Linked DNA regions of Callithrix jacchus. The protein of the gene in region 2 purifies or fractionates together with the protein of the main gene of each other region. This does not show direct contact. Links are inferred from orthologs where the notes say so. Each region holds a gene or a part of one and is shown on either strand. Other genes may lie near its edges.

What was found.
Region 1: the proteins of RNF13 (region 2) and AP3D1 purify together in Homo sapiens (affinity purification with mass spectrometry; 3 studies listed by BioGRID and IntAct, counting the BioPlex papers as one, with this or other methods). This does not show direct contact. The link is inferred for Callithrix jacchus from reciprocal best matches to the Homo sapiens genes RNF13 and AP3D1.

Annotation. Positions count from the first base shown.
Region 1 is NC_133523.1:1,989,212-1,993,013, reverse strand, and holds part of AP3D1 (AP-3 complex subunit delta-1), read left to right. Parts: intron 1-264; coding exon 265-423; intron 424-767; coding exon 768-815; intron 816-1,172; coding exon 1,173-1,362; intron 1,363-1,816; coding exon 1,817-1,905; intron 1,906-2,058; coding exon 2,059-2,144; intron 2,145-2,672; coding exon 2,673-2,794; intron 2,795-3,069; coding exon 3,070-3,149; intron 3,150-3,802. UniProt on the Homo sapiens protein: Part of the AP-3 complex, an adaptor-related complex which is not clathrin-associated. The complex is associated with the Golgi region as well as more peripheral structures.
Region 2 is NC_133518.1:35,453,689-35,458,217, forward strand, and holds the start of RNF13 (E3 ubiquitin-protein ligase RNF13), read right to left. Parts: upstream 2,999-4,529; 5' UTR 2,874-2,998; intron 1-2,873. UniProt on the Homo sapiens protein: E3 ubiquitin-protein ligase that regulates cell proliferation. Involved in apoptosis regulation. Mediates ER stress-induced activation of JNK signaling pathway and apoptosis by promoting ERN1 activation and splicing of XBP1 mRNA.

The DNA.
Region 1 (3,802 bases), on a different chromosome or scaffold from region 2:
CCGCGTGGCTCCCTGGTCAGCCGGGACTGTTCCCTGAGCTGCTTTGGCCAGCCTGCTGCCAATTAGGGACAGCATGGCCTCTGTTAAGCTGGGTCTGGCCTGGGCTGGGCCCCGGTAGGCCTGAGGCGGGGCTGGTCCTGCCACCCCACCCAGGCATGTGGGACCCTCAGCCTGAGCAGCCCGGCCTGTGGCTCCCACCTCGTGTTGTGAGCAGGACGCACGAGAGCGGCTTGGGAACTGACACGGCCCCTCCTCCTGCTCCAGAAATCCCCCAAGCCTAGGAAGAAGAAGCACAAGAAGGAGAAGGAGGAGCGCACCAAGGGCAAGAAGTCCAAGAAGCAGCCTCCGGGCAGTGAGGAGGCGGCAGGGGAGGCGGCGCGGGAGCCGGTGCAGAACGGCGCGCCAGAGGAGGAGCCGCTCCCGGTGAGGGGTACTTCAGCGCCCCCGCCCCGCGCCAGGGCTCCTGGCGGGCTGCGGGCTGCTCCGCACTCCTGCTGCCTCCGTGCGGGAGAGAAGGGAGCAGATTCCAGAAGAAGCTGAGCTGGTTGGGCCTGGCTTGGTCCCGCGGCCCCACATTCAGCACCCCCGTGGTGGGCTGTGTGGTCCTGGGAGCCAGGGATCCCTCACAGGCCCCTCTGAAGCCCCCTCGCCCCAAGCGTTCTTGGAGTCGTGGCGTTTGACCTGGGGTATTGGGCAGCACTGGAGTTTTTGTTGCGACAGAGCCCAGGGCCTGGCCTTTGAGGCTGATGTGACTTTTTTCTCTCCAGCCTGAGTCCAGCTACTCCCTCCTTGCTGAAAATTCCTACATTAAAATGGTGAGTGGCGGCTGCTCCGTTCCCTGGGGCAGGGCTGGCCAGCGCATGCTCTTTGGCGTGGGACTGTGCAGAACCTGGCAAGGTCCCCAAGTCCTGCATGCTGGTGTGCCCAGGGAGCGAGATCCCTGCGGGGGCATTGCTTGGCAGCCCCTCTGGCTCAGGTGAGGTGGAAGACATGCCCTGAGGCCTGGGCTGGTTTGAGGGTCCCTGCCATGTGTCACAGAGCAGCCACGGGAGGCACTCCGGCTGAGGCTGGGGGGCCCTGGTCTGTGCTTCCATGGCCGTTGAGAGGCAGGAGCCTGTGCCTGTTCCCTGCGGGTGGCCCACCTGCCCTGCTGACACTGGCTGTGCCCGCAGACCTGTGACGTTCGGGGCAGCCTGCAGGAGGACAGCCAGGTCACTGTGGCCATCGTGCTGGAGAACCGGAGCAACAGTGTCCTCAAGGGCATGGAGCTCAGCGTGCTGGACTCACTCAATGCCAGGATGGCCCGGCCGCAGGGCTCCTCCGTCCACGATGGCGTCCCTGTGCCTTTCCAGCTGCCCCCAGGTGAGCCTCGCCCTGCTCACGGCCTCCCCTGGGGATTGTGGGAGCTTGGTGGGATCTGCTGTTCTTGTTGCTACCCCCCTACGTCCCCTAGGTCCCCAGGCTGCACCCTAGTGCCTCCTGAATGTCGGGGTCTTGCCACAGCTCTGAGAAGTGCGGTGGCCTTGGATCGACATGGCCAGAGCCCTGAGGGCTGGACTGTGGGCTGGGGCCTTCCTGGGTTCTGTGGCTCCAGTGGCTGCATCTTCCCTTTGTGAAATGGGCATGGGACCAGGTTCAGGCCAAACTGGGGACACCAGTACTCTTGTTTCTGCTTCTGTCCCATGGTGCTCCCTTGGGGTCTGAGCCCAGCTTCCTGATCAGCCACAGAGGACTCAGGACTGAGGACACACACAGGGGCCCCACCCATGCTGAGCCCCGGCTGCATCTCAGGTCCCCTCCCTCTCACCCCTGCCAGGCGTCTCCAACGAAGCCCAGTTCGTGTTCACTATCCAGAGCGTCGTCACGGCGCAGAAGCTCAAGGGGACCCTGTCCTTCATCGCCAAGGTGTGCAGGCTCCACTCGGCGTCGGGGAGGCTCTGCAGGCTGGGGCTTCTGCCCCATCCCAGTGGGTGTCCCAGTGTCCCGATGGGAAGTGGGCCACCTGCCTGAGCTGGGCCCGACTCCCCACTCAGCTGCGCTGCTTTTGCTCCACGGCAGAATGACGAGGGTGCGACCCAGGAGAAGCTGGACTTCAGGTTGCACTTCAGCTGCAGCTCGTACTTGGTCACCACGCCCTGCTACAGGTGGGCCCTGCCACCGCCCACCGCCACCGCCCCGCTCTGCCTCCGCCTCCCCTCCGCCTGTGCCCCAGGGCCTGAGGCTTCTGGGCAGGACTTTAGAGATGGTTTTCGAGGTGGTCAGTGCAGGTCAGGCTGCCTGGCATCTGTGCCAGCTGGGGCAGAGTAATTGAAACCACAGGCAGGGAGGCGTCACCCAGAGAGGCCTTGGCTCCTGGCAGTCCCAGAGCCTGGAGGGCTGAGACCAAGGAGCTGGCAAGGTGGGCTCCTCCTGAGGCTTCTCCTGGGCTTGGCATGCGGCACTGTCTGCCCCCTGCATTCTCGCAGGCCTGCGTCCCGTCTCTTCCTAAAGGACATCCGTCCATATTGGAAGAGGCCCACCCCATGGCTTCAGGCACCTCTGTGACCTCTTTAAAGACGAGTCATTATCAGTTTCTGGGGGTCAGAGCTTCCACACGTGAAGAAAAGGCACATCTTCAAGGATCCCTGAGGATCCCGGCCCCACCGGAGTCAGCCTCCCTGTCCCTCCCACAGCGACGCCTTTGCCAAGTTGTTGGAGTCTGGGGACCTGAGCATGAGCTCAGTCAAAGTCGACGGCATTCAGCTGTCCTTCCAGAACCTTCTGGCGAAGATCTGTTTTCACCACCACTTTTCCGGTAAGGAGAGCAAGGGGCTGATGGATTGCACGGGGTTCGCGTCCGTGGTAGCCATCCCTTCCTGTTGGAGCTGGGCCTGCGGCCTCATCCTTTGGGATTCCGGGTGGCTAGTGGCCCCATGGCCTGGGAGCTGGTTCGGGGGCTGCTGTTCACGCCCCAGGCCTCCCAGGGGCCACATTGTACTCCTGCAGCCCCCGGGAAGGCGGCCCCTGCAGTGGGGGCGCGGCTGCACCTGTGCGGTGCGTGGGGAGCCTGAGCCACCCGCTCTGTTGCAGTTGTGGAGAGAGTGGACTCCTGCGCCTCCATGTACAGCCGCTCCATCCAGGGCCACCACGTCTGCCTCCTGGTGAAAAAGGTGAGCCCCAGGCCGCGGCGCTCGCCCTGGCTCCTGCCGCCTCTCCTGGGCCTTCATCCTCAGGGCTGAGCCTTGGGGCTTCGAGGGCTCAAGGACGGGGATGCCCGCACTGCAGCTGTGAGCCCCTCACCTGCGCCAGCCCACTCAGCAGCGCAAGCTCGCTCAGCAAGTCGGGGCTTCCTCCTCCTGCTGTGCTGCTCACCCCAGGCTGACGCACGGCTCCGGGGCCCCACGCGCTCAAGACTCCCACCCCACCCCCTGCACGAGGCAGCCCGGGCCCTGGGTCGGGCGCTCCACCTCTCCTGCGCTCCTAGAGTGGTGCTCCGCGCCTCCTCCTGCCTGAGTGCTGCGGGTGGGTGTCTTGCAGCGTGTGGATGTTTTGCTGAGGGCGTCGCGTCTGTGTTTATGGAGTTTGGTGTAGTTTTCGGTTTCATCGTCAAGTGATCTCACAAAGACTGTAGAGAGTTCACGAGGAAGACCATCGGGCCCGCAGAGTTCTTTTTCTGTAGGCTTCTAGCTACAAACGGGGTTTCTTTGTTGTTTTGTTTTATGATTTGGAGTTTTGCTCTTGTCGCCCAGGCTGGAGTGCAGTGGCGCGATCTCAACTCACTGCCACCTCTGCCTCCCAGATTCAAGCGATTCTCCTGCCTCAG
Region 2 (4,529 bases):
CAGCTACCTGTGTGAACTCACAGTTATGTATCTCTGATGCCTTAATTCCCACACTTCCCACTTATAAAAAGGGAATAGGACAGGCACAATGTATCACACCTGTAATACTAGCACTTCGGAAGACTGAAGCAGGTGGATCACTTGAACCCTGGAGTTTTAGGCCAGACTGAGCAACATAACAAAACCTTATCTCTACAAAAAAAATTTTTTTAATTAGCTAGGCACAAGGGTATATGACTATAGTCCCAGCTACTTGCCCGGCTGAGATAGGAGGATCCCTTGAGCACAGGAGGTCGAGGGTGCAGTGAGCCATAACCACACCACTGCACTCCAGCCTGGGCAAAAGAGGCTCAAAAAAAATAAAGATAAAAAGTAGACAACTGTCTACCACATCAATGACTGTAAGAACCACAAGAGATATTATAAGGTACTTAGAATTGTATTTGGCTCATAGTAACCAATCAATGTTAGCTACGTTATTTAGTTGTTACTGATGAACTATGATATACAAATTTTGACAATACCAATCATATACTGTGTTGTTCCCAAATCAACTTTTGTGTAATGTAAAAGATTCATAGAATTTTAATATTCTGCTTCTATATATGCTCAATAAATAGCTACAGAACACGTAAATTTTTGAACAATGACTCACCAGTACTCTTTATTAAAAGGAACTAACTTCTAATTTTGTTTCCTCTTCTAAGAAAAGTAACAATGCTTACCAACTTTCTTCCCCTTTTTATGTCATGTGAAACTATCATCTGCAATACCATATGGTAGTAACATGACAAATGGTGCAAAACACTGTTTTGATTGAAACTCATTTGCCTCCTCCTAAACATCATTAATTCTCAGATTTTAAAATATTGTTATTTAAATGCCAATCATTTGTAGGTCACACCCACACAAAGTAAGCATAACATTTCATGATAGTTGGCCAAGCCATTTCATTTCATACATCTCTTATGGTAAGAACTATAAGACATAAAATGCCATTCTATCCAACTTAACTCAAAGACATAAATCTATCCCTGCAGTCATACCTTTAGTCTTACCCTCACTTAGCTAAAGTTAGAGCCTGTAAAAGTTCTGATAAATCTACGTTATTCTGGAATGCAGAAAAATATCAAGGGAAGAAAGCTGAATGCTGGCAACAATTTAGGCCCCTCCAAAATTATTGAGAAAATCAGCTTTATACAAGAATAGATGAGAACTTATCCTATACCCTTCAGTATTATACCTCTCAAACCAAGATTTTCTCTGTGATTTGCATTACACATAAAGACTTGCCTAGCTTCAAAGGCAGAGGTAAAAAATATACTAATAAAACAGCTGTCATTCCCCACACAGAGAAAAATAACTGTGCTTCTCTCCAATAGTTTCCAAAAAAAACAAAACAAAAAAACTTACGTAATAGACAAATTTTAATTTCATTTAATCCTCGTAACAACTCATAACAACTTCTTATTTATGGAAAATGTCACAGAATTAGTAAGTGGCAGAGCTGAACTCAGCCTGACTCCCAAATTTGGAATCTAGTATTTTTAAACATTTGTTTTTGCCATATCCATAATATACTTTACATTTCCATCTTCCTCTTAACACACAACATATTTTTATGTTGTCAGACAAAACTGCTACAAAAGCTTCTTGCCATAATACTTACTTTTACTTCATACAATGACCTCTGGTATTTTTTTCTTTCTTTTTAATGCTTATGCCAATGTACTAAATTGATTCTAAAATCTATTAATGAATTCTTACAGGCCCAAAACTACAGCACTGCACAACACTTCTTACCTCCTGTTTAAACTTCTTTTTAACTTCTACCACTGTCCAGTTTTGTTACTTTGAGATGGAGCTAATATCCACCCATTCAAAAATCGTGCTTAAATAGATTATAACTCTTGAAAGCCCTACCTTAAATCTTGAATCGATCTGTTTCTCTACAAGAACTCTTTGGAGGCAAAGCCACCTTACTTATTTATATTGTATCAAAAACTGCAGATGTTCTCCTCGGAGAACAACACATCATTGTTGGAAGGAATGCATTCGTTTTCACTGTTCCTGCTGCATCACGGACAGCAATAGCTGAACAGGTTTGTGCAGTAAGAGGACCTGAGCAGCTGCCCACGGTGCTGAAACTGATGATGAAACGACAGTTTTAGAAATTTACTATTGTCAGATTAGGACAAAATACAGGAATTTACCAGACACTGGCAGAGAACACTGAGTGGCTGCCACCAAAGTTGCGTGAGTGCTTCCGGGATACTACTGTTTGGCTTCGATGTCTGCGCTCTCTCTCTCGCTCTCTGGGACAAAGTTCTTTAATAAGTGCAGATCAAGTCAAGCGTACCGGCAGAGCTGCTGACTTACCGTAGTATCTGGCCTTAGCAGGGGTCACGTCCTAAACCTGCAAACTGAGCTTCCAGGGGAAAAAAAGCGGGTGGGGGTAAAAGAGAGGAAGAGACTGCCCTCCTTATATTCAAAAACAGAACAGCCCCTTCAAGTCAAGCAATTTGCCCGAGGACGTTGCGGCAGGTGCTGGACCAAGAAAAGCCCTCCAAACATACTTCCAAGGCTCTTGCAGCCTCAAGAAGGGAATGAGAGAAGCAAAACCGGTAACTCAACAACTTTGGACAAACACAAACTCGCGAGATGAGAGGGCAAGGGAGACTCGGCCCTCGAGGACAAGGCTATTTTATTCCTTTTGCAAAAAGCCTAATTCACTCCTCGCCCAGCTCTAGAGGAGCAGTAAAGACCTCAGCAGCGGGGCCGACTCCGAACTCGAGGGCCAGCAAGCGGGGTGTGTTCTCCGAGCCGCCCAATAACCCGCTGCCCGGCTGCCGCCAAGCCGGACAGTCTCTTACCTGGAAGTCTGGCCCCCGCAACACAACAGTCTCGCTGCGGGAGAAGTCCCTACCCTGACTTCATGACTGAATATCCGCACCGACCGCACAGCCAGGAGTACGAACGGGGACGACAACACCGAGGCGAAGCGGAAGTCCCGCCTCACGCGCCTCATTTGTCCACATCCAAAGGCAGAGAAAAACCATTGGGTCACATAGTTGCCTGTTAAGGCTCCTTCCCACTCTCACGCGGAGTCTCTGCTTGCTCCAGTCCCGCTCGGAAAAAAATGCCCAGTTTGCGAGTCTCGTTCTTGGCCGCGTGATCGGTCTTCCCTGGAAGGGAAGGGTAGGGTGGGGCGGGCGTCTGGGGAACTGGAGCGCAGCTGAAGAAGCTGCTTTTGGCAGAGGAAGGGGCAGGCTGGCAGAGTGGATTGACTGTGGGCGCCTCCCGCTGACCGTTTGCCCCTAGAAACGGAGGCAGTAGGGTCTGGAGGGCGCGGGACTGAGCGGGCAGGGCCCGTCGGCCTGATCCGCTCTGGCTGTTGGGAAGGAGTAGCCCAAGATCCCGCTGCGGGGATGCCCGCGGGCGGGCCTGGCTCTGGCGTCAACGAGTCTCTTCCCTGCACACTACACTCACCCGACCTACTAAAGAGACGAGGGCAAGGCCTCATCGCCTCCCGCACGGTGTCCAAGTCTGAGATCAGAGTGGGTGGGGCCGTGGCCACACCCTAAAGTAGGCGTCAGATTGTTAGAAGTGAGAGCAGCCGGAGGTCTGAACGCCAGTCCCCTGAGACCTGGCTCGGATCCGCGCTGACATCAGCACTCTGAGCCCGACGCGCGCCATTCCCGGGGCTTAGCAAAAGTCAAACCATGTGATTCAGGCCGAGGTCAGCCTTTTAAAACCCTTGCCTCCTTTTGATGAACCAAAAATCTCCCCTGCCGCCCTTCTGAGAAGCCTTCCTTTCTGGTTGTGCCAATCTTAAACCAGAGGAAACTTAAAATTACCGGACTGTACCATCCACACTGATTAATCACTGCCAACTCGCCACCTTACAAAAGCAGTGTGACTTAGTACAAAGATTATAGAGTTCTGAACTAAAATATCAGGAAACATAGAATCAGGCCCTACTTCTTCTTCAAATAATAAGGCACTTTTAATAAGACCTTTACAGGCTTCAACTCCTTCAAAATCATCTTTTAAAAATGGTAGCAAGGAGGCTATCACATAGATTAGTAGAATACCATTGGATGTAACTTTGTAACTTTGATTGCTTGGAGAACCCTGAGTAGGTGGGACACAGTATTAAAGGATAGACTTTCCTTATTGTGTATCCGTTAGTGCCTTTTGAATTTTGAACCTTGTAAATATTACCCACTTAAATAAAATTCAAATATAAACAATTTAAAATCAAATTTTAAAAAAATTTAAAAAGCTATCAAAGCTACTTTCCTCTTCTGTGTATCCTATGACTGTTCTATGTAGTTTCAACTTTTCGTTGGTTGTGAAGACATTCAAAACTTAAATCACAATTCTGCCTTTAAGGAAGTCATAAATAAAAGTCAGCATTGAGAAAATTACTAAGAAGACTAGTGTAATTAATATAAACATTTATAATATCTCTATTAGCATTTTTTCATTAAATTATCTCAAATTGGTATATTAAATCAGATTTCTTG